4 linked regions of the Drosophila melanogaster genome follow. The protein of the gene in region 4 interacts with the protein of the main gene of each other region in a pairwise test. Each region holds a gene or a part of one and is shown on either strand. Other genes may lie near its edges.

Region 1 (8,638 bases), on a different chromosome or scaffold from region 4:
CGTTTCAAATCTTTTTGAGTGTTGGGTAGTTAATGTGACAGTGGAAATAAGTTATTAAATCTGACGTCGGTGTGCAGCACTGGATCGTCCAGTGACAGTTGACATATATTCCTATCAGCGGCGAACTTTTTTGTCCGGACTCCTAAAAGTGACTCCAAAAAGTGCGATGAGATCTTTTCTTTATATGCTCTCCCAACGTCCCAAATTGGCATGTTTGTGCGGAAAATCTATTATCATATGGCCTGGTAAACGTACAAATCTGCCGGAAAATGCTTTCACTCAGCGGATGCTTCAAGAATGTGGCCAAATGGCAAAGCCGGACGCTTCGGTGGATCTCGATAATTTCAAAGCTATTTCGGAGCAGTCTCCCGCCGAGGTATACTCATTGGAATTGGTTTCGCAAAATTGTCTTCTGACATTGATATAATCCCCCCACATTAGTTTGGCATCGATTCCTGCCGAGTGAAGGCACAGCCGGAAGATCGAAGTGACCGCATACGGGAACAAATCGCATCCGCCTATCCGGTGATTCACGAACGGACCCTCCTACTCTTTATCAGCTTCTTAGAGCACAAGCTCACGTTCGGTGGGTACAATCACAATCGAAAGAATTTATATTTTCTGGTCATCGTTTTACAGGCAGCGAGCAGGAGAAGGCCATCTACAAGGACATGACTGTGGTTGACCTTGTGCAGCGCCTGCTGGCGAAGAGATGTGTGTGGTTCTTTGGCGCTAACGACTATTACCGTACAATGCAGGGAAATATTGGTAACGAGGGCTTCGAGGCAGTGGGTACGCCCGCCGAAAAGGAACCCCTCACTTTGACCTCGGTGCTCAGCTACGACGAGATCAAGCTGTCCGCCCTGCTCTACGTGTCCTGCCACTCGGAGTTCATTAACAATGGCAGTAGGGTCAATGGGGGTGAGGTGCTGCAGAATAAGGACACTATCGAACGGGAGGGCGTTGTGATTGGACTAATTGGAGCTCGTTTCGAGCGTCCCGATGTGATGGAGTACCAGGATATCATGATTACTAAAACCCAAAATACTGAGGCCAATGGCTACGGTTTCGATTTGGAACAGATATCCAGCGAGACGGTCACACCTGCATCAGATTTGCGCAGAATCTGGCGCGAGTTCTACGAGGAGCCCAGGGACTTCATTTACGCCGACACTCCGTATGATACTACGCGTTTCGAAGAGGTTTCTCAGGGCATCTTCGATCACCAGGTAATGCGCAAGCGATATGCCATCAGTTTCGACACCCTGCTCTTGGAGGCACAGGACAGAGCATTTAAGGCTGGTAAGCCCGCCTATATCCATGTGGTCGGCATCGGACTGGGCGTTTGGAAGGCAGCTAGACAGCAGGAGCGCACCTTCCTTGAATCTTTTGAGGGACGATTGCGGGCACTTGGAGAACGACTAAGCCACATCGGAGTGGTACACTTCTCATGGTTTCATTTGGCATGTGTGGGCAGCTTGCATGACGGAGCCATCATTCCCGTGGACAAACATCCCCAGGGTGGCATTCGCATTCGCAATTCGGTCCGAAATCCCGGAGACAAACTAACGGAGGACATGTTGCCCGTGGTGACATACGCCTGGGATGGAAATGCCCTGCCTGGCAACGAATTTTGGGCGGTATGCAAGAAGTGACTCTACTAAGGTTTACAATTTGTAATGCTTATTTCCCTACAGAATATGCTAATCAGCACTGGGGATCCAGCAGCAGCCTGTTCCACTTTAATCTCTGAACTCCAAAATCCCCACATTAATGTGCACTATATGAACGGAGCCAATCTGCACATTGCATCAGTGGAACACGGACTACTCCATGTAGGCGACTACGCTAGGCGACTGATTGTGTAAACACAATGTATCTAAGCACTATGTAATCCTTAAAATATATTACAATAAAGAGATCAGCTTTTTTGCTGATACATATGTACATATGTACATATGTACATATGAACATATGAACTTATGGAATCATGGAAAGCCAGCTGTGCGAACAAACCACCATATTCTTCTAAAGAATCAATGCCCGCATGCCAACAATTCCATTGAATGAGAAATTGATTGTGTGTGTTAACCATTACTGAGTTCGTTTATTGAAATTGAATAGAATTATTAGCTGTCAAATGACAGAAATGTGATATTATTGTAATGTACTGCATATAGATAGCAACAAGTAACACAAGATCCCATTTCGTTTTCGGCCATGGGTTAAATAATCCAATTCCCAGTACCCCATCTTATATCTTAAAATCCTGAATCTTAGTGTGTTTGTATTTTGGTGTGGTTGGTGTGTTTGATTTCTTTTTTTTTTTTTTTGCTTTTTTTTTTGGCATTTTCATTATTACAAATGAATCGTATTTAAAACACTTCTGTTCTGTATACTTATACTTCTGAAACAGCGTCGTATATCGAAAACAGTGATATAACATTCACAACAACATTATGCTCAAATATAATATAATATAATATTATTCTTTATCAACAATAGCATTTTATCTGTAACGGTGCACACGCCCCCGGCGAGCAGTGCGGCATTATATAGCCGCATCTCGCTCGAATTCCCACTGTTCTACCGACTGCACTACGTATGTACACTTGCCTCTCGCTCTTTCTCTCTCTCTCTCTCTATATATATATATAGACCATATATATTTATATATATATATAATATATATACGATATAACTAGATATAGTATATTTTCGTTACATTTTTTTTTTTTTTGTAGGTAATTAGTGCCGAGAAACAGTACAATAAAATCGAAAAATCAAGCACAAACATGCTCCAAATATGATTTAGTTAAAGGTATATATGCAATAGGTAGGTATCGTTAACGCTTTTAGATTTTTTCTAGGCTTGTATTTCTGGGTAATTCATAGGTATGTATGTACGTTTGTATATAATGATGGCAAACCGCTTGAGGATCCGAGAACATAAATCATTTCACATCTGTGCAATCGAACTTTTGTTACTCAAACTTCAGACTTACAACTAATTTCCTGTATAACAACAAATCGAAAACTTTGTTAACCACTTCAGTTTCCACTTTCACTTTCAGCAAGAAATTACTTATACTTATACTTATCTTGCGCTGTACTTTGCTAATATTTCAATATTGATATTTTTGAAAAACATATTTCGATTTAAATACAACAATCTCTTGTTGAAAGTGAATACATAGTGAATTCTCTTGAATGAACACAAAGAGTTTGTTTGAAACATGGCTAAGTTATAGTTCTAGATTCGCTGCGCAAATCAAAACAACTATACCTACGTATATCTTAAACATAATGTAATACGAAAAAAAAAAACATGGAAGAACAGAACGTGCTTTAAAGCTTCTTATCAACAATATTTGTTTGTGATCTAATATTCCAAGACTCTAAACAAAATATGATAATGATCGCGGCATGGGGGTGGTACAAAAATTCGTTCGATCGTTATTTTCATGATTTGTTTTTTTTCTTTTTGGGCGCTCACTTTTTGGAGGGGGGGGTTGGTTAGGAATAATACCAATAACAGATACATATAACATACAAAAGCAGCTGTGTTGTGCCGTGGCTCGTTAATTAAACTCAATTGAGAACAGCTTTTTGTCAAAGCGGTTAGGCCAACAACTTGGCTTGAGTCACCCAAGTTCGACTGCATATATGTACATGCATATACATAGCCATATACATAACCATATACACATATCGATACACATATGTAATATATGCTGCTTTTCTTATATAACATATAACAGAGCGGCGATAACAAGGAATCACTCGTCATGTCCGTTTATTGTACTGCGTGTGTTGCGTTGCGTGTACGTTGCACGTCATTCTTTGGTGGATGGGCGTATATGTTTGTTGAAGGCGCCAGGGCTTGTCCATCCGCCGCCTCCATATTTGTTTATTCCCGTAACCAGCAACCCAATCGGTCCACCCATATGTTTTTCATTTCTATTTTTTTTTTTTTTTTTTTTGTCTATCCACTCCTATTTCGCAGGCAGATTTTGTTTACTCATCAAAATCGCTGATCAGCAGGCCACGCTTGCCGAATCCCAGCGACGAGACGGCGGCCAGATTGGGTGTCGTATCGATTCCCTCGAATAGATCACTGGTCGCGGAACTGTTCAGCGAATTTAGGGTAACATTAAACGTCGATCTTCCGCCGGCCGTGTGGAAGCGTTCCTGGAGCTGCTGCTGACGCTTCAGGCGATCAAGTTCCTCGCGCAGCGCCTGGTTGCTGGCCCTTAGGCTATCCGTCTCCCTTAGACAGTCGCGCAGCCTGTTTATTGGTGGGGATAGACAAAGTTGAGTAATTGGTTTGTTTATGTTTGGTGATCGGTGAATCGGTGGATCAGGTGTTTGATTGGCTTTGTATGATTTTGTTGGGTTTTGTTTGGGTGGAAACCGCATTCGATCAGTGTGAGAGAGTGTTGTGTTCAAGACTTGAGTGACACAGGGACATTCGAGAGTCCAGCTCATATTGCACGAGATAGTGGCGAAAAAGAACCGCTCCAAAATGGGGATTTTGTTTTGCAAAAAGATAACACCAGCCCTATATCAGCACTTTAAGTACGCATTTCTACGGAAAAAGTGGGAAAGATCAAGTGTCCGCCCTTTGGGTAACTTTATTCCTAACCGTATGCGATCGATACATGATGTAAGCTCAATTGAGCGAATGGAGTTGATTAAGATCTATAAGCAAACTCATTTTTTAAGACCATTAACAAGTCAAAAAAGTTATATAGCTGTATATATAACTGTAGTACAGCAACTTATAGCGGACAATATTTGTGGATTTCTGATTCAGTGGTTTCCCCCCTACAAACCCGTCTCCACTCACGTGTCAATCTCGCCCTGCATGCTCTTGATGTACTCGCATGCCTTGATCAGGATCTGCGATTTGGAGTCATTGGGCGGCGCTCGTCCGCTGGAACTGCTGGCATTGCCTTTGGAATGGCTACTTCCGTTGGTACTCGTACTTCCGCTGGTGCTGGGACTCGTGCTGGCCTCGCTGAAACTGGAGCTGGAGCTCAGACTGGGCAGCATCTCCTTGAGCTTGAAGATCCAGCTGTTGATCTTGTCGCGGCGCCGGCGTTCGACCTCGTTGTGCGTGGCACGACGTTTATCATCGCGTTTCTTGTACGCCTCCAGTTTGCTGGATGGTGTTTGGCCAGCTGATTCTGGCTGGGATCGGGCTTGGGCGTGAGCATGGCCATGGCCATGACCATTGCCATGGGAGCCATACAGGACACTGGTGGTGGTGGTGGTGCTAGTGGTGCTGGTGGTGGTGTTGATGTTACCTGGAATGGGAGGATTCACGGTCTGGGCGGTTATTACCGCGGACTGTGTGCTGGAGGAAGTTGTAACAGATGGAAGGAGCGGCTTTTCGCTTAGCGTATCTAGTTCCAGCTTGATGGCCGCCTTCGTCGGCGGCTCACCCATTAAGCTGCCGGTTTCCTTGACCAAATATATCTCACAGCCAGTGGGCAGCTGCAGATTGTTGGGCAGCTGCAAATTGCTAGGCAGCAGCGAATGGATATCTAGATCACATCCCGGTTCCTGTTTAATCGTATAGTACTCCTGCGAATCGTCCGAGTTCTCGTCTCCGCAAATGGTGAGAAATATCTGAGCACCTTGGCTATTCATCAGCGGATTTCCCGTGTCGCTGGTGAGAATCAGACTTTGCTGACCATTGGCAAAGGAACTGTGGACCAGGGCCTCTGACAAATCAGCGGTGTGGTGATTGGTAATGGTCATGAGGCCAGGTCCAGCTGTTGGATTCGCATTGCTGATATTTACGGAGGACGGGGATGTGGAAGTGTTGGTATTGCTGGTGGAGGAGCCGAATTCCATATTCAGACGTGGCCGCTTGTGAACATTCATTGTTGCATCGATGATCCGCCGTTAGCAGTACACCAATTCCAATAGCCCAATCCCAGCCAGAATCGTATCCGTGTCGCCGGGAATCACGTAACTCCGGATCTATTCGGGATCTCCTCCACTATTTGCTCCGATCTCTAGTTGGAGGATACACGGATATGGATGGTAGATATCCCCCGATCTGGCCGCTCTGCGGTATTATTAACTACCGACTGCCTCGAGGATTTGATTTGAAATCGAGCGCTGCGGCGGATTTATGGTCGTTCGTGTTCGCACGGCCATTTAACAATACGATTTGTTGATTTTTTTTGTAACAAAATTATTTTCGTTTGGCTTAGTGTGCCCGCCGGCGGGCAGCAAATATATGCCGACAAATACACACAGTACAGTTGTTGCGAAAAATACCAGAATTTAGGCAATGTATTTTTGCGGCATTTCCAAATAATTGTTTGTATTCAAAAAAAAAAATAAACTCTTCATACAAGTAGAAAATCTGTAACTTTAAAATGAAGAAAAGCATCTTCATTTAATTCAATAAACGATTCTCAACTAAGCAAATGTGTTTTTGGAGGTTTTTCGAAAATTAAAATATACCAAATGCATATACGTAATATCTAGTGGACAAACAATACCACACTGTTGGCCAAAATGTCGTTGACTTCGCAATTTGTTGCGAATTTGAAACGCTTTCGCCTGGTGACCTTCGATGTAACGGACACGCTGCTTCGCCTGGAGGATCCCCTTCGCCAGTACCATCAGACGGCAGAGGAGTTCGGGGTCACCGGAGTGGATCGCCGCCGATTGGAACAATGCTTTCGCCAGCAATTCAAGGCGATGAGCAGCGAACATCCAAACTTTGGCCGTTACTCGCCGGGATTGGATTGGCAGCGTTGGTGGCTTCAGCTGGTGGCTCGAACCTTTAGCTGCGTGGACCACGGTCTGGCGCCCGAGAAGCTGGAGAAGATCGGCCAGCGGCTAATTTCCGTTTTTCGGACCAGCGCCTGTTGGAGTCACGTGAATGGTGCCCAGGAGTTGGTGCAGAACGTCCGAAATGCCGGCAAATGTGTGGGCATCATCTCCAATTTCGATTCGTCACTGCCACAAGTCCTGGACGCCATGGGCTTTGCCGGCAAATTCGATTTCATTCTGACTTCCTACGAAGCCGGTGTTATGAAGCCCGAACGCGGTATCTTCGAAATTCCGCTGCAGAGATTGCAAATTCCAGCGGAGCAGGCCCTTCACATTGGCAACAAGTTGGATATGGACTATGAAGGTGCCCGGAATTGCGGCTGGAGCGGTTTGCTTGTGAGCAACGCTGACAATCCCCATTCTTTTGCCAGTCTTTCCAGTCTGTTGGAGGCCTTAAAAACCCAACCAATCCGATGGTAATCCACCAAAGAAACTCCTCTCGGGAACCTGCAGTTCTTCGATTGGATAATGGCTGTTGTTATTTTTGTAGATTTCCTTTTTTTTTTGCATTAAGATAACATAACTGAATGTAAAACTAGTGGTAAATATAAATACGCGATCTTAATGATATTTTTTTGGGAAATTCGAGGTAGGAGGTTTTGGACAAATATAAAACATAATATAACAAATATAAAAATAAGCTGTCTGAAAACAGAAATAAACAAAAGAGTTCTTAGTTGAATACAATTCAAAGCTTATTTCTTATCGAATGTGAAAAAGTCGTTGTTTAAATATTCATTAAAAGATATTATTAATTAAAGTGACATAACGATGCTGTATTATGCATCGAAAGAACCTCCTCCTTTCGAACATTTCCGTGTATAAAGCCTGATAAAACTATACCTGAAAACTTATCCTATACACACACACACACACACTCGCACACGTCTCTTGCACACATACCTAAATACTAATTAAGAACAGATTAATCGTACAAGCTATTTTGTGACCAAAAATATTTGGTTGCTTTGTGAAGGGAATGTGCCAGTCCATCTGTTTGTAATGGCAATCATTACTATGTAGCCTTTGTCGCCTTCGCAGGCATTTGGGCCTTGGCCGCCTTAAGCTGCTCCAAATTGAACTGTTTCCGGATTTCGGTGGACACCTGGCGAATGACCGCATCCGTATTGGCCTTTAGATCCCGTTCCAGCACATCAATGTCCACATCCTTGCTCTCCAATCGCATTTGCATGTCCGAATAGAAGTCACAAAACAACACCGGTTCATCTGAACCATTCGGCGTCCTCGTGCTGCAGTATTGACCCCTTCGATGGAGATCATCGTTGTTGGTTTTGGCGTCCAGGCCAAGCAGACGTCTCGCTCCCAATGGCAGCTGCTGTTGGATCAATCTCTCGTGATTCTGAGAGATGTGATGCTTCAGCTTCTTGAACTCCTTCACCTCGTTCTGCATGTACTTCACATAGCTATACATCTTGGAGGTTTTCTTCGTTAGGTTCTCTAGGCAACTTATAAAGTTTCGCACCTGCTGTGTTCTCGGCAATGTGCTGGGATCCAGTCGCTCGGCTTCGTCGAAGTGCTGCAGTGATCGATTAAAGTCGTGTTTCATGGCCAGTGCAGAGGCCAGGACCACATGATTCTCGGCCACATTAGGAGCATGTTCCACCGCAGCGGTCAATATCAGATCGGCATCGGCCAGTCGACCCATTCGAAAGAGTATGGTACCCAGACTCAGCAGGGGTATATCCTTAAAGATCGGCGGAGCCAGCAAGGCAGCCAATCTGGCACAGGGCAGGGCTTCCCGGGCATTTCCTCGCATGCG
Region 2 (7,460 bases), 9.3 Mb from region 4:
TCAAATTCGAGTGATTGATGAAATGTGACTCACAATTCCCAGATTCCCATCACGCTGCACAAGGAGAAGGACTACGACCAGGAGGGGCGCGAGATCCTCAAGTGCGGCTTCAAGATCGGCGGCGGAATCGACCAGGACTACAAGAAAAGCCCTCAGGGATACACGGATTATGTGAGAAACTTGGGAAACACTAGAACCTAATTCCGGGCATAAAAGAGAGCTTCAATCTTAAAGCTAATAATTATAGCTCTCCTTGAAAGTCGGGGAATTTAGTTTTAGTTCGGTATCTTAAGAGCAGTTTCAATGTTACAATGTTACGTTTTCCCCTTTGAAAATAGGGCATCTATGTGACCGAGGTGCACGAGGGCAGTCCCGCCGCCCGAGCAGGTCTGCGGATCCACGACAAGATCCTGCAGTGCAACGGCTACGACTTCACCATGGTCACCCACAAAAAGGCCGTGAGCTACATCCGGAAAAACCCGATACTCAACATGCTGGTGGCCCGCAAGGGCGTGACCTCCACATAAGTGGTGCTCGGAGCAGGGTCTCCACAGACTACAGCAGTATTTAAGCGGCATTTAAACTATCCCCTCCACCGCCCCTCTGGGCTACGGATCTCTTTGCCTCCTGCAACCTATGCGAATACTTAGAACTACCATATTATACATATTAATTCATTACGTATGCATATCGCACACACATGTAGCCAGACGTAAATGTAGCACCTAGTAATGCTTCTTGTTGAATTCGATTTCTTTGCCTCTCCATCACTTGTTGAACGAATCGCCAAGCTCCTAAGTGTAAAACAGATTGCCAAATACCGATACAAACAAACACTCCCAGAAACAACAGGCTCGAATATAAACAATTTTGTACTTTTATACGTGCAGACCATTCCAAAACCAAACAGAAGCAGCAGCCGAACGCAGAGTTGTTGAAAGAAACATACATTCATAGTACATACTTGTGATAAATGACTTTAACTGTGCAGATATGTGCGAAGAAGGCGCATCACTTAAGTTTAAAATTGAGTTTTTAATGTTATATTGCATTTGAATAAATGTTTGCTAAATAAATGTGCGAGTTAGACGTCTTCTTGTAACTTTGGTCAGCTTAATGTGATTATGCCATTTTTGATTAAGATCTGACAAATGGTTGATGCAGTTGTGTGTTTATTTTACCTAATGCCAAGTGTAATCTCCCAGTGCCACCTTGTCGGTGACCTTAATTACGTGATTGCGCCAATTGGCACGCGTCAATGATGCCAGCGGTCACCAAACGCGTAAATGACGGTCACAAAATTACATGACAACAGCGAAAAGCCTTTTTAATTACAAAGTACTTTGGATTACATACGCACACTTGCACACATCGAAGTGAGCGAATACTACACGAAATTTGGAAAGAAATATACACAACTAGAGGCAAATAGAAATTGCTACCTGAGCCATTATCAGGCGTAGTAACTCAGGAACTTGCGGAGCGGCAGGAACGTGGCGATATACAGCTCTACTTGTTGGCATACCCGTTTGGGTTCTGGCTCTGCCAGCGCCACGTGTCCTCGCACATCTTGTCGATGCCACGCTCGGCCTTCCAGCCCAGCTTCTTATCCGCCAACGTGGCGTCCGCATAGCAAGTGGCCACATCTCCGGACCGTCGGTCCACCAGAGTGTAGTTGACCTTCTTGCCGGAGGCCTTCTCAAACGCCTTCACCATGTCCAGCACCGAGTAGCCCACGCCGGTGCCCAAATTGTAGGCGAAAAAGCCCGTCTCCGCGATGTTGCGCAGCTTGTCCAACGCCTTTACGTGTCCCTCGGCCAGGTCCACGATGTGGATGTAATCGCGCACGCCGGTGCCGTCGTGCGTGGGAAAGTCGCTGCCGTAGACACTCAGGCTGGGACGTCGACCCACGGCCACCTGTGCGATGTAGGGCATCAGGTTGTTGGGCTCGCCGTTCGGATCCTCGCCAATCCGACCACTGATGTGGGCACCCACCGGGTTGAAGTACCGCAGCGAAACCACTGCCCAACGCTGAAAGAGCGAATTCTTTAGTACAGAACTTATGGACATCAAGAAATGACATCCTCCTACCTTGTCAGACTTGCACAGATCCTTGAGAATCTCCTCGGTGAAATATTTAGTCTTGCCGTAGGGCGATGTACAGTTGCCCGTGGGATGCTCCTCGGTCACGGGCAGGAACTTTGGCTCACCGTATACGGTGGCGCTGGAGCTGTACACGAACTTGAAGACATTGTTGTCGGCCATCGCCTCCAGCAGGACATTGGTGCCGGTCATGTTGTTGTGGTAGTACTGCAAAGGTATGCGGCAGGACTCACCCACGGCCTTCAGGGCGGCAAAGTGGGCCACCATGTCGATTTTGTGCTGAAAGGGATGTAAATATATGTACCTATTAGTTTGGGAAATCCAAATCTGTAATAACCAGCTCTTCAGTAAGCACAAGGATATTGCCTCTTATAAACGTAAAGTGCAGAATTTAATAGCAATTAAATGAAAGTATCACATTGATTTCAAGGTGATTTATTGACAAACAATTATGTGTTCTTTAAATAGCTGTTGATAGTGCTGATTAGGTAAAAAATTCCACCACAACAAATACTGCTCAATCTATTCAGTAATCAGTGCGCGTAAGCACAAAGCTGTGTGCATTTATGGTTGAATAAAAATATGAAAAAGTATCAGCTTAAGATATTTCATGGCTATTTGGGCAACAACGTGCATTTTTATAATGTTCATTACATGTAAATAAACGCTTTGTTTTTTATAAACGACGGTGGTTAACAAAAAAAACCCCTTTGATCGAACATCTCAAGAATGCGTGATAACCTGCTCGAATTAGCGAATTCTCTTGGTTATCAATGGATGTAAACACTGCAATCTGGGCTCCCGACCACCCAGATTGTAGTGTACGTGCCCGGGAGCTGTTGTGGATGTGGATGCCAGCGCACCAACTCGAATGCGACCTCGCCAAGTGGGTCTTTCATTCAGGGTCGATCAGCACGGCGGTTCGTCGGAAGTGCCCCGCCACTTGAGCAAACAACAAAACAAGCGCGAACGAGAAAAAAGCTGATAGCGCGCATGCCAGATAAGCTTGATTGAATGGTATCCAGTTGGCACATTTGCCCCAGAACCTCCGAACTGCTGACGTGCCAGCTATGTAATGCTACGTGTGCTCACCTCCTGGAAGACGGAGCGCACCTGCTCCCTGTCCGTGATGTCCACTCTATAGAAGTTGACCTTCTTGCCGGTGATTTCCTGCACCCGGCTGAGGGCCTCCGGCAGTTTGGCCCCGCTGCTGTAGGCGTTGCACAGGTTGTCCACGCAGATGACGTTGTAGCCCGCATTGAGCATCTCCAGAACCGTGTGGGAGCCAATGTAGCCGGCTCCTCCGGTGACCAGGACCGTGGGTGGGGCCATCCTAAGTGGCGAAAGGGGAAAACACACGAAATTAGGCCACACGAGTGCCCAGTTCTTATTGACGTCACCAAAATCGTTCGGCAGGCGTGCGAAATAGCCGTCTGCTTGGCGAAAAACGGGTAACTCACCTGTTTACAGGTGATTATGGTAGAGAATCCCCGCTCAGTGAATCAGATTGAGTTTAGCTAGACGCAAGAGACGTGCCCTTGAAACGATTCCGCCTCGGATTCCGATGCCTAAAAACAACGCCTCTGATCTCCGACGAGATTGCAGATGATGGTGTAGATGAAGATGCCAAAGATCGCTGACCGTTGAGTGCTATCGTGTGCTAACCCGTTTCTTGCACTCTTCCTCATTCATCTGTGTTGTCGTACGTCTGTTTTGATCTGCGGTCGCTGGCCAACTGAACTGGTGGCTCTCCACGGAGCCTATTTAACTTGTTCTCCGTTCTCCGAACGCGCACTTCTTATCAGTTTCGGTGGTTTGGTGGGCTCGGAGCTCTCCTGTCACTTTAATTCAAGTGCTAGCAGCAGGCTGACTTGGTCGACGGACGGCCGGGGTCACCTCGAAGTGCATCCTTATCGCCGCTGACCTTTGGCTCCCGATTCCATGCCCATTAATGCAATTTCCAGGTGCTCTTCACTTCGCTCTCCGAATAAAAGTAAACAAAGTGGTAGCGTTGCCACGCGACATGGCTCGTTCGACGCTGCCATATTCGCCGATTTTTCAGCTACCTGGCACAGTGGGATTCGTCTCGATAAATTTCTTGGCTGTCTATCGATATGAACAACTTAAAACAAGAAGTGCGCCCATATCGGTGTTTAAATGTGAAAACATTCTGGAGACGCGAATAGGGGTGGTAAAAAAATAGTTTTCATTATAAAGCGTATAAAATCACAAATCGTAATTAATTAAACATATGATAAGAGAATAACGCCAAATTCATAATGCAATGTAATTTTGTAACGCATTCTATCCCCAAGATAATAATCTTATATGATCTGGCATCACTGCCATGTGCTTCTGTAAAATTTACATGTAGATAAGTTGACATTTTACTTGACTGATAAACGGAGCAGATTCAAAATTAATTTTAAACTCGAAAAGCAAACGTTTGATAACAACAAACTTCAGTACAATGCGTACAACTACATCGTCATAAATAACTAGAACCGCAGTTCGGACAGCTTTTTGGTGACCCAAATTCGGTTCAAATCTTTAATGATAAGCGGAAGTGCATGTGCTCAATACGCAATGAAAAAGATCTCACAATGTTTACAACTTAATTGAGAATGTATTTGCGCAGCGACGAGTCTCTCAATGAAATGCGCCTGCTTTCGGTTCTGAATGAATGGAATGCATGAATGGGTCGAAAGCTTCGGAGCTTTAACCTAGATTGGCATTTGACCGGCTTTATCTTATGGTTTTTGGAGTGTCGATAATCGTTATTTGTTTGAATAGTTCTATCTCAGTCAATAAATCGTTTTTCTGATTATGGTTTCCGAATTCCATTTCAATTTATCGCTAAAAAAAATTGCGGCATAAGAGTCCCAAAATTAGAACAAACCGTAAAATACTGCTTCGGCATAATAATCTACATAATCATCTGGAAACGAATCGATTCTCGAATGCGGGAAAGCTCACTCGATAAGGAAGACGCAGTACATACATATACCGCAAGACCATGCTTACCGCACACCGCATGTACTACATACATACGTACATCTACATATATTTTGAGATTCTCGGGCGGCACACATATGTACATACTGACAACCGGAAATGAGTTAGTTGAACTTCCGGCATTGCTCGCCTCTGAATGGCGCTGGCCTGCAATATTTTTTTATGTGAGCGACAATAATTTGCACAGTCAGAGTCGCAGCCACAGAAACTGAACTGAAACAGAATTGGAAAGAGAAAGACAGAACGGACAAGTCTCCAAGTGGAAGTGGTCGATCCTAAAGCTACGTATTTGTACATAATGTGCTGCGGTCTAGTCTACATACATAAATATATATATATATATATGTATAGAAGCGAGCTCCCAATCCAATCCCGCCTGCACATATGGGGGAATTATCAGTTCGGTCCGAGAGTTGGATTGCTGTTATTGCTGGGGCTAAGGTTTTCGGGGGGTCTGGCCCGGCCCGTTAGCTATGTCCGTCTTCTTGTTTACTTACTGTACTTATATGTTTATTAGTATGTGATCTTTTATTTCAAACACTTTCCACTCCACGAATAGAATGCCAAACGAATAGAATTTCCTTGCTTACACTTATTGTAAATTTCGGTTATCCATCTTAATAAAACCAATTTTCCGCATTATTGTTTGTGCCCGATAATCATCTATGTATGTTCTGCGTTCCCTCAAAAGAGACCACCCCAGATAAGCACCGACTCTGGCACTTTAATTTGATCTCGGATCGGCAATGGGAAAATGAAGTAGGGAAATAGTGAAAGTGGTGCACTTTTCACATGGCCCAACGGAGACCGACTTGGAAACTGGGATCGCCCGGGCCACCATAAATGCTTATCACAAATTAAGCAATTTATACATATTTCGTGACGTTTTCTGGCAGAACCCGCATGGCCCGTCTAAAAGTTTTCAATTCCTAAATTGAAGATATGGAAAATTAAATTCAAAACGCACTTTTCTATGCGCGATCCGAAGTCGAGACTACATACATAAATTTATTACATTTATTAAATTTGTTACTTTGACTCAAAAAATTCGAAAAAATTGGACCACTCTTCTGAACTTTTCTGCCCACCTTTACTTAAGCTTATGACCTTAAGGATATTGTATTGTAACCTCATTACAAATTAAACTATATTAGAACACATAACATGAGAACCACCAATGCCACCAATATTGTATTGTTGAAATATATCTCTCTATTCATCTACTGTAATTGTAATACCCATGTTTCAATACAAAAGTACAATCTATGAAGAGTGAATCAAGTGAAGAGCCCGATTCTGAGCTTGAATTTGAGTACGAGTACGATTCTCGGTCGTTTAAGTAAGTGGAGTACACGCGCATGTGCGGCGTTACGGAAAGAGTTCCCACCAACAGGAGACACTGGGAAGCAACAACGACAACAACTAAGACAACGACTTCAACTACAACAATAACATCTACAACAGCAACAACTATCTACAGAGCAACAATGCGCACAACAACCACTACGACACGACTGGGCTGAGTTTTACGCAAGTTTCCAGTTGTCAGTGATCTCATTTCGTTGCTTTTTTTTTTTTGGCAAAACTACCACAAAGGCTTAGAGGGGTTACGGGTTGGCGGGGGGTTTGGGGGGGTTCGGGACGGGCAGGGGCTTCCACGGCCGTGGGGTGGGTATTTAGAGAGTATCTCGGCCTAGCAACAGGCAACAAATGATGAACACGTGTGCTGCCTGGCTCTGGCGGGTTAAGATATAGTCAAAAAACAGGGGCAACCACCCTGAACGGAATCGGGGATCGGGGATCGGGCATCGGGGATCGTGGATCTTTGGGCACCCTCCGGTTTCACACACTTTTACGAGCTATTGATGGCGGTGGCAATGGGCTTATGAATATGAATAGATCGCCCTACTTCCTACCTGGTTCACGGATCACGAAGGTAATGGCAACTTAATAGGACTTCTTCTCCCCGAGGATCGGATCGGATCCGTTCGGGTTCGGGTTCGCTATTTGGAACGGGGTTAATTCGAAAAAAGCGCATTCATACCATAGAAAATTTAATTAGTTGTCTGTTGGCTGCCTGCCCCCTCGGGGCATGTTTATTGTTGCGAAAATGGGAAAACTATGAGCCAGGAGTGCGCAGGGCTGCGGTGGTGGTTGCTGCAGGATCGGGAAGAAGCCAAAGGACACGAGATACATCTGCAAACGTGATCGAACACGATGCCGAAACTTCAACAAACTTCAAGTAGAGCCGTCCATCCGAATCTTATTCCCCGGCGCCTTCTGCTTCACTCAACTGGCAGGATTATCACAGGGGTTCTTTGTGCGTCGCCAAATCAGCACAA
Region 3 (7,362 bases), on a different chromosome or scaffold from region 4:
ACAAAATAGTTGATGAAGTGGCAGGCAAATTTTAGCCATACACGGACTTTTGGGTCCTCAAGTCCCCAAGTCTTAGTTCAATGATTAACCGATATAATCTATTGGTTTGGATATAATTTAAATTGTTCTCTGTAATCAGCCACCACTTTGCCCGAGCTAAATGAGATTATTGTAAATTGTATATATCAAACTGACGCAGGACAGAACTAGCGTAGCATAGAGCATGTTCAGTAGACTATGTCTAAGTAGACTAATTCTTGGAGTAATAAATTATTTTCCCCACCAGAAACGGTTCAGTGCTTGGATTTTGATTTTTTCGCCTTTCTCCCCAGAGCGTCGAAAATGTTTGGTTTCAATTGCGGCACATGGTCAAGGATGTACGGAGGACGTACGTCCATAATTTCCCGCGTGTAGTGGTTGCCGTGCTTGGTCTTGCGCAGCCGATCCAATTCGATGGTAGCCTTTATTGACGGCCTGGAGCCCTCCGCTGGAGTGATCTTTATCTTGGTGCAGTGCCCCCGCTCCAAATAGTTAATAGTGGCGATCAGGGAATGTATATCAGCGATGACGGACGAGGTCTGCTCGTGGATTTTTAGCAGAGCCTTCAGATTGGCATATATCCTGGCCAGCCGTTTGTCCACGGGGGATTGATTATTAGGATCACAGTTCTTTTTCTGATGCGGAACTGAGTACTTGATGAACTGGCGTTCGTTGCCCTTCGGTGGTTCAGGAGTCTCCTTGCACGGCTTGGGCACCAACCGCTCCGACACCTCCATCAGTCGCACCTGCTCATCCAAACTGCTCAAGGGCAGCTTTCGCATTATGCGGCGCAGCTGCTTGCGCTTTTTGGGCGTGAGCAGGTGGTGGTGCTTCTGAAAGCGCTCCACTCCGCGGTGCAAGTTCTCCATCATCTTTACCCAAACGTCCATGCTCCTGCTCTCCGCCTCGATTTCATTCTGGAGTCGTACGCGCTTTGAGCGAAAATGCCGTATTTGTCGTTGTAGCGACTTCGTCTGATTCTGATCATTCAAATGCTCGCGGACCAGACGGTCGTAGTCCTTTTTCCAGTTCGGTTCCTGAATCATTGGCTTAACTAGGGAATTTCGAATTTTTAAAAACGATAACTGACAAATGCTATCGATGACAAAGTAGTCGTGGTAAAAATATTTAAATAATTGGTTTTAAAAATATTTCGATTCTCGATGATATAGCTATTATATATATCGATAGCTAATTATGAAAGCCGTGTACCATCTCCAATCAGCTGTTTCACCTGCTTTTCGCCGCCTGCTCGTTAGTAAATATCTGGAGTAAAAGCTAAAATTTACCTGGTAGCTCAATACAATTATAAATCACATTCGAAATTAAGTGTTAAAAGTTACGTATGCATTTTTTTAGAAGGACGCCTTTTAAATAGTACAATTGGAACACGGAGGGTCACTACGGTGTTGCGTAATTAAAGCGACACGTTTTCTGAGACCCAAAATTAAGCTGTACACATAGAATGCCGGTGTTTTGACGTACGAATCCAAGGAATACAAGAAACCGTCATGGCCAAGTATATCGCCCAGATCATCGTGTTGGGCGCCCAGGCAGTGGGAAGAGCCTTTACCAAGGCGCTGCGCCAGGAGATCGCCGCATCTCAGGAAGCAGCACGACGGGCGGGTGGTGGCAAGCAGGGCGACAAGAGCGCCGAGTCCAACCTGCGCACAGGTGAGTCTTGGACACAGTCATGCTATCTATTTCACTATTTACACCTACTTATCAATGCAGGCATGACGCTGGAGGAAGCCAAGCAGATCCTGAATATAGATGACCCCAAAAACGTGGACGCTATCACCAAGAACTACGAGCATCTGTTTCAAGTCAACGAACGCTCCAAAGGCGGCTCCTTCTATATCCAGTCAAAGGTTTTCCGGGCGAAAGAGCGGCTGGACCATGAGATTAAGGCCCATGAGCAGCCGAGGTCGTCAAATACGGAAGCAGCGCAAGATACGGCGGAGGAGTCTCAGAGCAGATCGCGGCAGCGACGCTGAGTATCCTTGTTGTCCCAATCGAACTAATTAGCTGATAATTGATTTAAAAACTACGTGTTAAGTACAAAAAATGAAAGTCTGTTGCTGTAAATAGAGATTTACGAACATGAAGACAAGTGTAAACACTTTCTGAGAAGAGCTCGACTTTCCAGGAACACAAATGTAATGGAATTCTTGTAAACTAACACGGATTAGCTCAGGCGGTTAGGTATAAATATTTTACTCTCAGGCCAGGTAACTAGAATCGGATCGATTTTAAGATCACGCTTCTTGGGGTTTGAAAATAAAAATATTTTAAGTATCAACAAAGTTCCATGTCTTGATCTAGCTATAGCTAAAATTATGCTGATGTAAATAAACTAATGCTGCAATGGGCTTCCAAACTTTCGCAATAGGAACTTGGAAATTTTAAAATCAGCTGTTGCAGAAGCCAGAGATGCGCGAACATATCGGTAGAGCTATCGACCGACAGCAGTCAGCTGTTCGATGGGCAGCACTGGCCGAGAACAAACCGAAAATAATCATTACTGGTGCGCAGTTGTTGTTTCCATAGACGTGTCAATTGTTTGTCTAATTGCGCCAGCAGCAGCAAAACGACGCCAAAGCACACATGCGCATTCCAGCGCACAAATATCCCACCCACGAAAATCGCAATACCATCGCCCCAGCAACGCGGAGGAGGGGGTGGACTCCACTTTTCCAGGGAGAAAGCGAACGTACGCATACGAGAATCCGAATCTGAGAATCCCCAATCCCCGAGTCCAAGAGAGCGAAGACGACACTCCAGCTCGGTATTTGAGACATCGACATTCCGCTGCTCCGTCAGTTTTCAGAGGACCTTCGAAGTGGGCAGCCGAAAATCCAAAAGTCTCCTGGCAGCGAACGGAAAACCAAAGAGAAAAAAAATAAGAAAAGCAAAATCCAGTTGGCAGAGAAAAGCTCAAGTGGTAATTGGCTGCGACTCAAATTACTTTAGTTGTGCAAATAGCGAATAGCTATAAACCCAAAAAGAAAAGAAACTCGAGCGTGGCGTGTGTCCATGTGGAAAATCGATCGAATCGCAGAGTATTTATCGTGTAATTGTGCCCAATAGCCACGCAATTCCCAGTCCGTTTTATTGATTTTCCCCACCGCCTCGCCAAGTAGCAATAAAAACCATTCTTTTACCTTCCATCTCGGCCATCTGGACAAAGCAATTGCAGCGTGAAAAATTCAAATTTCAAGTTAAATGCGAGAATTTACATAACGCCGAGCGTTGAAAGTGAAACTTCTGTGGTGCGAACGAAACACTGAAAGAAAGGAAAACCCATTACAGGACATTCTATCTGCCTCTGCCCAGTGTAGTAAAAGTTGGAGAGCCAGGAGCGGGAGAGCAGTGGAAAACCGTGAGAACCGCGAGAACAAGAGAGCCTAGAGAGCGTTGAACGTGCGCACGTCTTCCTGGTCAGGACACACCACCAATCCTTGAGAGAAACAGCAGGAGCCAACATGTTTTCGGGCCTAACAAATCAATTCACCTCGCTGGTGGGCGCCGTTAAAGGAGGCGCTGGCGACGAGGATGTGCCCGCGCCCACAGGAGATGCGCCCGCAGCCGCTCCAGCAGCATCCACATCCGTGGAGGCCACGGCCTCCTCCGCCGTGGACCCGGAGGCAGCTGCCGCAGCCGGTGGCGAAGGACTCGAGGGCGAGGAAGCTGGCAAAAGGTAAGTGTGAATCGAACAATGCGCGCTGGGTAATCCTTCGGCCCATCTTTCTAGTCTTCCGTGACTGTGACTCCGAAATCCAGACTTCAGTCGACCTGACATGGCGTGCCAATGTGACCTTGCTATTTGTACCTTTTAACATTTCGCTCCGTGGAGTTCCTACCCTCCAGCAATCGCTCCTTTACGGTACATTCATCATTGTTTTGACACACTCCGCTTATCCTGCATTTTACGTTGCATTCCGCACGCTCTCACGTGACTGAACATAATTGCTTAAACTGGAATCCAAATGCCCGATAATTTCACTCCCATATATATCCTATATGGCTCCGCTTCCTTGCGAAGCTAGTCGACTGACTTTCCTGAACATTTCTGGCTAGCAATTTCGATTTGAAAATGCCAGGCCAATTTGTGGTTTAAATGGATTTCGTTTGATTATTCTTGAAATGGCAAATCGCATTGTGAAGACTGTATTTCTTTTTAATTGTTGAAATATTTGAATCGTTATAGAATATAGCATAAATCAGTCTTCAAAAGAGTCTCTCAGCTTGGCATATATGTATTACTTAGTATGGTAGACTGTCAGTAGTGTAATTCTCCAAGCGAATTTATTTGCCCTAATTTTGTTGACCAAAGGAAATTCCTTGAACTGTCAGCAAACGGAAAAGAGCAACTCCATGCTTACTAACTTCCGACTGGTTTCTTTTCTTTTACTTCCCTCAAACTGAGTGGATAGGACTGCCCTATTTCTTTTCGACCTCGCCGTATCATTTGACCTCGTCCTTCGCGCTTCTTCTGGGTACTTCATCAATCTCTAGCAGGCATTCCACACCCTAGTTATGTTGAGTTTGCTTTATCCCACAAGAGTGTTACTGCCGTTTCAGCCTTCATTTCCTCGAAATAAATGAAAGTAAATTCCAATTATTCGGCTGATATTTTGGACAAGTTAAGACCGCTGTGATGGCCCGTTAATGCCACAAGTTGCTGGCTAATCCGGAAGATCAGCCAAAGTCAACTAACGTTGTTTTTCACTTAATTCAGCTCATTAATATTTAATTGTGCGAGTGTGCGCTGGATGCCAGGATGTCAATCCGGGGCACGTTTTTCCAACCAGCTGCCAACAGCTGGTGTCGTCGTGGTCGTCGTCGTCGTTGTTGTCTTTGAAACCCAAGTCCGTGATGTGTCACGCCTTTTCAACGGGCCGCCGTTCTCCTTCTGCCCCGCAAGTCCTTTCACTATCAATTGACATTGACGAGTTGGACCACCTTCGTGTTGTTCTTTGTATCTCGTCTTTATTTTACTCTTTTTGTTTTCTGTACGTTCCAATGAAAATAATTTGCACGTGGCTCCTGCATAACCACAAAATGTTGAGTCATTCGAGCTGGCGGCGCCCTCGTCCGCTTTCACCACTCGTACACTCTGGTTTTTTGACCATCTTGCTGTGTGCGAAATACTGTCACCAATGCCGATGGGTAGAGGTGGAGCATTCGGAAGGGGGCTGGCTCGGAGGCAGGATGTGTTCCTTTTGGTGGTTGCTTTCCAGTTTCCAGTTGACTTTTGCTCGTTTTGCGGATCGATACGAGAGAGCCGTGCGAAAGGACGCTCTATGCTTCTCTCTGCGAAATGTGCACATGTGATGAGGCCACAACGAGTAGAAACGACGATGGCGCCCGCTCTAGAGGATTTGCTACTCCACGACCCGACCCGCCCCCTTGTTGTCCTTTTGTCAGCCTATTTAATAATTGTGCATTCAGAAAACGTGTGTGCTGGCTTGTTGCCTGTCTTTACGCCTGTGCCTGTGCCCCTGCCACTGTCCTTTTCATTTCCTCGCTCGCCAATCAGCGTCAAATCTCTATAATTTTCAATGAATTAATTTATTCAATTTTCGCTGTCATGCATATTGAGTTGCTCACGAAGGCAATGGGGTTTGGTGATTTAGCCCAAAAATCGGTCAATATTCGATTAAGGGCTGCCCAAAAAAGTAGGCTATGCCGGAGAAATAAGCGAATGCATCTCCACCCATTAGTTAAGCCCCTCAAATCCCCACCTGTACATGCGTTTCCTCGCTCCTTTTCTGATTTTTTCTCTGCCTTCGCCAGGGCCAAAGTTGTTGGCGCTTTCAAGGACATTTACACTATTTGCACTTGCTCTCTGCGAATGTGTCTGTATGCGTGTGCCCTTGCCTTTGTTGCTAAAATTATGCCAAAATAAAATGAAAACAAATACGAAGGGAGGCGTATGAGTACGAGTAACTAACTATTTCATCTTGCGCCCAAATTGCTTGGCAAACAAGCTGGACAAAGTAAAAGTACGCAATGCATTCCTAACGCCGCTTGACACAATTTACTCACCAACAATAACAGCTAACTCTTGATTGCTAGCCAGTTGGGTCATTCGGGTCATCATTAGGCACACAAACAAAAGTTAAGAATTAAATATTTGCACATGTCGCATGGTCTTGGCCTGATTGAAATATGCCCTCTATATGCAAATAGGTATTACGAGTTCTATTCAAAATATATAATATAAATATTACATTTGAGCCAGGGTCCAACGAGCAGTGGAAATCAAAGTCCGGCCGAGATTTTCCTTTTTTTCCGCTCACCTGGAGACGGCAAACATAATAAAATCAAAGCAATGGCCTCAAAATAAATAAATAAATGCGAGACTGGCGAAATGGAAAACCCACAGAAATTTATCGAGCGACATTTGGCCTCCTGAACCGAACTGAACCGAACTGAATACACACATTTCCCAAGGATATAAAAATATAAATAAGAGAAACGAGACGGTCGGCGGGAATCCAATTGAAATGCTGCCAAGCCGAATGCAAAAAAAAACCCCACAGGCTACTTAAATTTAAAGGCGGTATTAAAATTTCATGTCAAGGCAAGAGACCGCCGGACATATCGCCATTTGCCAGGACATGGCGTGGGTGCTAACGACGCCCTGTGTCCGAGCGCTCGCCATTTGACATTTGCCAGCCAAATTAACGCCCTGGCCTGGCACCAAAAGCAGCCAAACAATCCCTGTGGTCAGCAGCTACTCCTCCTCCTTCTCCACTCGCTGCAATTTCAGTTCGTTTCGGCAGGACCTTAATTGCCGCCTGCGCCGTGGGTGGTGGGTCCTGTCCTGAAACTATTTGTTCTGTGTATTTTTTCAGCTGTCGCATTTAATTCAATTTATACGACGCTCGAATCTTTACTGTTGCGGCATTGTGTGCTTATTGTTTGCACCACGAATTAATATTTATCGCCCTGGGCATTTGTTTCGTGCTAAATCATTCGGCCCATATAAATAGTAATTTTTATGCAAATTAAGTGTTTGTCACACGAGTTTTTCACTGCCTAATTGCTGGCCAGGGAGTTTCCCACGCCCACTCAAAGAAAAGGGCCGATTTAGAATGCGTGTCGCACGGTAGTTTTTTCACATTTTGTTTGTTTTTTAATTCCCAGAAAGATTTATAATTCATTCGGTAACCCTTTTCTATTTTTAGTGATTTTTGATTTAAACACATGTTACTCGGAATCTAAATTCCATTTTTTGTGCCACCTATTTTATTTATGAAAATTCTATTTAATGGCTTGGTATTTCTGCCTAGTTGCTAAGTTTTCATGTACATA
Region 4 (6,447 bases):
ACCAAAGTGTCAAACACAATCCAACACAATCAACACAAGAACACGAACCATTTAAAAACCAATGAAACACTATGCAGAATGCAATCAATTCCTAGAAATCCTAACTATTCTCGAATATATATTTATTGTGAATGTTTACGCTAGGCAAAAAATAAAAAAAAAATACAAAAATATGTCAAATATATACCTCTATGTGTCATTGAACTCGCCTATATCATCATAGTTTATCATATATATATAGTTTAAACCATATCACACTGCAAAAGATACAGAAGCAAACATATATTGCCTATTTATTTTGCAAACATCGATGATAAATATATGCAATCAACTAAGAGAGAATCGTGTACCTACATACAACGTACCTAGCACCATAGAAACCAAACTTATCACAGAGCTTTACAGCAATCGCAATCAAAAAAAAAAAAAAAACAAACAAAAAAGTAATCAATATGAATAACCACGAATACGAAAGGAACGTTTATTTTTTGGCCAAGAACCTCGAGTGATCCCGCCTGCGCTTTATAGTGATGAATCCCACATAAATCTATGTATATTCTATACCCATCATTCAATTCATTCAATATATACACACTATGATCAAACGTAATAGATAGCTCCAAAAAAACACCCAAAACTACTACTAAGGTGAATATACACGAATCCAATCCAAGGTCCACCGATCCGAAATAGAACCAGAGCCAGTAATTACTGAAGCCGCTGTACCCGAAGGCAATCTCAAACTCAATCTCAGTCTCACATTTATAGTCAATTTGTATAGTTGGGCAGCTATATGCGTAAAAGTGTGGTAATTGGTAATGGTAAACTCTTGAAACTTTATACATATAGTGAAGACTCACCAGTGTCATAGATGTATTCATTACGTAAACGGCAATTAAAGCGATTATTATCATTATTGTTGTGCTATGTTTAGCGGAGTAGAAGTGAAACCCGAAAAAAAATATGAATTTATATATGTATACAAAACGCAGCAGCAGCAGCAGGACGAACTCTATCTAGGACACATTAAAAACCACTCTACTTTATATACACATACTCGAATGATATGAATAAAAGTATGAATTACACGAACGGGAACGGGACAATCAAAATTCAAGCGACACTAAAACTAATTCTATATCAACTATCAACTAACAAACAATTGCAATTTTAAGTTACGTTGTTGTCGTTCGTTGTGTTTGTTCGATTCGTTGGATCTGCGTTTGGTTAATGCCAGCTAATTTGATCCTGAAACTCCAGCATATCCTTGCCATGCACCTGAAATTGCTTTGCATTTTGTTCGGTCCGAATTTGTTGTTTATTTATTTCACCTTAGACAAGCATATCGATATGGTTTACTAGCGTTTAATCGTACGTATATATAATTAGATTTACTTAATTTTAATTAATGTTTACGCGACAAGACAGAAACCTAAACACAAGAAACAAAAAAAAAAATTTAAAAATGAAAAAATTAAAAACAAAATCTAAATCAAAGAAAAAGGGGAAAACCAAAAGCTCAAACTGGACTGAACATTTAAGAGTTATATTATGTACATTATTGAATTGCATTTGATTGTGTGAAGATCGTTTTAGTGCTAGTAACTGCGCCTAAAACAAAAGGGTATTATATTTGTATTCGAATTTGTATGTAATTCTGATCGTATGTACGTTATGTTATCGTAAGTGTACCATCCTAGATCCTCTAATGAATTGAATTGAAATGAAGCCAACTCTGTCTCTTGTGATTCTATTGTGATGCTATGGGAGTCAAGCAGCACTCAACTGTTTTTATGCCTCTTAAAGTTTAAAACAAAGCTAATCGTAGCAAAACCTAAAACTAAACTACCTATCTCTACACTAGTCTATGCAATGCTAATTGGCAGCCCCAACAATTGAAAACAATCATGCACAATAAATGTTATGCAATTGAGAGAATCCAAAGGCCAAAGACCCACAACTTTTTCTTACACTACTCGAAGTAATTGTGTACAACTAAAGGAATTCTAGATTTTAAATGTGCTAAAACTGTTTATAGTCAAGTACTTAATTAAGAGTGTAATTATCAAATATTAATACGTACAAAGGTTGGGGCATTTGGCATAGTAATACTAATAATGTATAAACGTGGGATCCGATGATTTGATTGATGATAATGGAGCGGTGCAAATGCGTGTGACAATGTACGTATGTAACAAACAATTGAATTTAAATGTTTAATAAATGTGTGGAAATGAATAAATGCTCTGTGTGCTAAATTCCTCAATTACTCAATAACAGCCTCTACGTTAGCTTCTCGTCCAGGAATAGTGGATCCAAACTGCACTTTTGCCGCTGTTCCATGTAATCCAAAAACTGGTGGTCAAATAAACGCTGCCCCATGCTGCGTGCCACATCGTCGGATTCGTCGGTGTTTGCCTTCTCTATGAGCAGCTGTTGGCATTAGGATTTCCTTTTTTTTTAACTATTTTGGAAAGTTGATGCAGCCTTCTGCTCACCTCAATTTCCTTGGACAAAAATTCTTTGGTCGCATCGCTCATCTTCTTTTGCGGCTGGCCCATCAAAGCGTTTTCCAGAAACTTGTAGGCCTCACTGAAAGTACCACAATGCTAAATACAAATGTAGTTTATCAAAACCATTCCTACTTCAAGTCAATGCCGTTCAGTTCCGTTGGCGATGGCTTTGTCTCATTTTGGATTATGGAGTTCACAACGACGGCTGCTTCGAATTCGCAGAGTTCAGCGAGTTGCGAACTTTTCATGAGCTCCAGCCACTGGTTAATGTTGTTTAAGCTAACGGAGTCGCAGTTTTTCACCATTTCCTCGCCCTTGCCAATCATGTCGGCCACATACTCTAGAAAAGGGATTGGGGGACAATGTACTTTTATTGCATTATGCATGTTTTAAGAAAACTCACGGAGAATGCCATTCGAATTATTTTGATTTTGCTGCTTGGCTGCTTCGAGCAGGATTTGCTGTGAGTAGCCCAGTCTGTTTAGTTGCCTTTGCAGCTTAACTTTCACCTCTCTCGGAATCCTTGCAGGCTTTTCTGCGCCTTTTTGCGCGGAGTTTTTCGGTTCCGGCGTAAATTGTTGCTCCTCCTCCATTTCTTTTGTTTATGTTTACGGTTTGTTAGGCTGACCCCATATGGTATTTGGTATTTAGTATTAAATTGAATCATTTGATGCGGCAATGAAGGAATGGTGGAATAAGTGGAACATGGAGACGGTTCATGTCATGGATTTATCCCGGACGCGTTCTCTGGTTAAAATGGCGCACCCACAAGCAGCCACACCAATCCCAAAGTTTCATTTATTAGTTTAGTGGCGAGTTTGGCGGCGCGAAACGCTCGTTGGTCCTTTTGTTTCGAAAGAAATCCTATTCGAAGATCCCCGATCCTTGCTAGGATCATCTAGTGCAATATATAGACTAGTTAATTTACTTTTGGAAAAATAAGGACACCAGCAGGGCCGCCGATTTGTGCCCCTTTCTTGAAAGTCGCAAAACAAAAACAACGACGACAACAACAAAGCGGAGACAAAGAATCGACAAGTAGCGATAAACGAAATCATTCCCGGGAAAACCTTGGAGACGGGTGATTCACTGCCAATACCACTGCCAATTGGAGACTGATCACGGCAGCCATCCTTGGCGCGCCCAATAAGCGGAGTCACCGGAACGCGTGGAAGCCATATCCGGAATGCAGCCGCCGGAGCTCGAGATTGGAATGCCGAAGAGGCATCGCGAGCATATACGCAAGAATCTGAATATACTGGTTGAATGGACGAACTACGAGCGTCTGGCCATGGAGTGCGTGCAACAGGGCATCCTAACCGTTCAGATGCTAAGAAATACGCAGGATCTCAATGGCAAGCCATTCAACATGGACGAGAAGGATGTGCGTGTGGAGCAGCATCGTAGGCTCCTATTGAAGATCACCCAGCGTGGTCCCACCGCCTATAACCTGCTGATCAATGCACTGCGCAATATCAATTGTCTGGATGCGGCCGTTCTATTGGAATCCGTCGATGAGTCCGATTCAAGGCCACCCTTTATCTCGCTAAACGAACGGAGAACCAGCCGGAAGTCGGCCGATATTGTGGACACACCCTCACCCGAAGCCTCCGAAGGACCCTGCGTTAGCAAGGTAATGAAAATAAAATCATACGAAAGCTTTGATGGTGAAATTGCAGCTCAGGTCATTGACCCTGATTTCTACAAAAAACCGGTTTATGGCACAATTTATTTGCATTTTTTTTTTTAGGTTTGTTAATTGAGTTATTCCTATTGGAATGAGATTAGAAAAGGTATCTTTAAGAATTGTAAATGGACTCAATGATGAATACTACTTTGGTACATGTGCACAGTATTATTTGCTTCTCTTTCAGAAGTTAGTTCGTGTATGAGATTCTTGTTTTCCATTTTTTTTGGAAGCATGAATCACATCCATTCTACTTACCTATCCCAATTATTCTTTTAGTAGGATTTGTTTTTAACCAGAATCTTATCGCAATATTGCTGGCAGCTGTGTTTATATAGCACGAATGTTGATTACTTCTTTGTCTGCCACATTAACCGTGCAATGAAAATATAATATATATATTGAAAATCTTATCTTTATTGTAATTTGTTCTTTCTTTCTCTCTCCTACCAAAGCTCCGGAATGAGCCGCTGGGAGCACTCACCCCTTATGTGGGTGTCGTTGACGGTCCCGAGGTAAAAAAATCGAAAAAGATACATGGTGGGGATAGTGCCATATTGGGCACATATAAGATGCAATCACGTTTCAACCGAGGCGTTTTGCTAATGGTTAACATAATGGACTATCCGGATCAAAACCGTCGACGGATCGGAGCCGAAAAGGACAGCAAGTCGTTGATACACTTGTTTCAAGAACTGAATTTTACGATTTTCCCCTATGGGAACGTGAATCAGGATCAGTTCTTTAAACTTCTGACAATGGTGACCTCCTCGTCGTATGTGCAGAATACCGAGTGTTTCGTAATGGTACTGATGACACACGGCAACAGTGTGGAGGGAAAAGAGAAGGTGGAGTTTTGCGATGGATCTGTGGTCGATATGCAGAAGATCAAGGACCATTTCCAGACGGCCAAATGTCCTTATTTGGTGAACAAGCCGAAGGTGCTTATGTTTCCCTTTTGCCGCGGCGATGAATATGATTTGGGCCATCCAAAGAATCAAGGCAATCTCATGGAGCCAGTGTATACGGCGCAAGAGGAGAAGTGGCCTGACACCCAGACGGAGGGCATACCCAGCCCGAGCACCAATGTGCCAAGTCTTGCCGACACTCTGGTCTGCTATGCTAATACGCCGGGCTATGTTACCCACCGCGATCTCGACACGGGCAGCTGGTACATCCAGAAGTTTTGCCAAGTGATGGCCGATCATGCCCACGACACAGACCTTGAGGATATCCTAAAGAAGACGAGCGAAGCCGTGGGTAATAAGCGCACCAAGAAGGGTTCCATGCAGACAGGTGCCTATGATAATCTTGGCTTTAATAAGAAACTCTACTTCAATCCCGGGTTTTTCAACGAATAGTTGCCGCCACTGGACATTTTATCATTCCGGATGCATTTTTAACCGCATTTATGTTCTTATCGTCGCATTTAGTATGTCTTTTAGATTATGTGTTCTGTGCTCGCGTGCTATAAAATGTTTATATTGTAACAAATACTCATTCAAGTATTCTTCTAATACGTATTGCATACCTCATTTAAAGGTACGAAATTATGTAATTTATGTGATAACTGCCAGAAATCTACAAATATTATAATACAGAGTTCCAGTATATACACAGCCAGATTTTTGAAATCGAACATTTAGGCAAAATGTAAAGCAATTTTCCAGTCTGATTTTTGAGTGTGTACACTTACAAAATAAACGATGATATTTCACAACAAACCGCAGTTTGTATATAATTAAAATCTATTTACATTTCTAAAATTTCATTGGGACACTAATTATTATATAATATAATCTTAGGATCATACATTTTAACCTAATCATCCTGCTCATCCTCCTCCGCCAAGTGGGACAGTTGTAGTTTTCCCGCTGCACGGCTCTGTTCCGATTTGGTTTTGCATTTCTTTGGCTTATGCGGCTTTTGGCCAATTACATACTCAGGCATCACCAGCTTGGAACCTCTTAACTGCGGCTTATCCAGCTCCACATCATCCACCTCCTGCTGTTTGAGGCTCTTGAGCTTGCGGCTGAGTTTGCTGGTCCTCTTGAACTCGATCTTGCCATCTGTAGGTGGAGATTCGTTATCGACGCCCTCAGCCTCGCGCTGTGCATCCATTTGTCGCAGGAAGGACAAGGCGGCGGCGGAGTTGCTCTGTTCGGAAATGTCCACATCAGACAGGGAGTACTTCTTCCATTTGTGCGGGTTTACCTAGAGAGTAGGTCAAACGTTTAGGGTGGGGAC

Evidence for each region.
Region 1: the proteins of CG6685 (region 4) and Usf interact in a two-hybrid assay, tested with the Drosophila melanogaster proteins (one large-scale study listed by BioGRID).
Region 2: the proteins of CG6685 (region 4) and Gale interact in a two-hybrid assay, tested with the Drosophila melanogaster proteins (one large-scale study listed by BioGRID).
Region 3: the proteins of CG6685 (region 4) and Sap47 interact in a two-hybrid assay, tested with the Drosophila melanogaster proteins (one large-scale study listed by BioGRID).

What each region holds. Positions count from the first base shown.
Region 1 is NC_004354.4:4,542,537-4,551,174, forward strand, and holds Usf (Usf), read right to left. Parts: upstream 6,259-8,638; 5' UTR 5,893-6,258; coding exon 4,850-5,892; intron 4,289-4,849; coding exon 4,018-4,288; 3' UTR 2,081-4,017; downstream 1-2,080. Other genes in the region: CG3568 (uncharacterized protein), read left to right, coding at 167-376, 442-586, 640-1,640, 1,698-1,868; CG15912 (uncharacterized protein), read left to right, coding at 6,538-7,278; CG11436 (uncharacterized protein), read right to left, coding at 7,874-8,638.
Region 2 is NT_037436.4:645,155-652,614, reverse strand, and holds Gale (UDP-galactose 4'-epimerase), read right to left. Parts: upstream 4,061-7,460; 5' UTR 3,564-4,060; intron 3,437-3,563; 5' UTR 3,436-3,436; coding exon 3,196-3,435; intron 2,383-3,195; coding exon 2,092-2,382; intron 2,032-2,091; coding exon 1,510-2,031; 3' UTR 1,304-1,509; downstream 1-1,303. Other genes in the region: CG3402 (uncharacterized protein), read left to right, coding at 43-171, 339-527. UniProt on the Drosophila melanogaster protein: Catalyzes two distinct but analogous reactions: the reversible epimerization of UDP-glucose to UDP-galactose and the reversible epimerization of UDP-N-acetylglucosamine to UDP-N-acetylgalactosamine.
Region 3 is NT_033777.3:15,932,602-15,939,963, forward strand, and holds the start of Sap47 (Synapse-associated protein 47kD), read left to right. Parts: upstream 1-2,517; 5' UTR 2,518-2,983; exon of another isoform or gene 2,984-3,229; 5' UTR 3,230-3,524; coding exon 3,525-3,739; intron 3,740-7,362. Other genes in the region: CG5478 (uncharacterized protein), read right to left, coding at 294-1,085; blp (black pearl), read left to right, coding at 1,551-1,713, 1,774-2,036.
Region 4 is NT_037436.4:9,965,189-9,971,635, forward strand, and holds CG6685 (uncharacterized protein), read right to left. Parts: upstream 3,130-6,447; 5' UTR 3,107-3,129; coding exon 2,917-3,106; intron 2,854-2,916; coding exon 2,646-2,853; intron 2,593-2,645; coding exon 2,499-2,592; intron 2,434-2,498; coding exon 2,284-2,433; 3' UTR 1,415-2,283; downstream 1-1,414. Other genes in the region: Dronc (death regulator Nedd2-like caspase), read left to right, coding at 3,700-4,146, 4,656-5,561; CG6674 (uncharacterized protein), read right to left, coding at 6,022-6,414.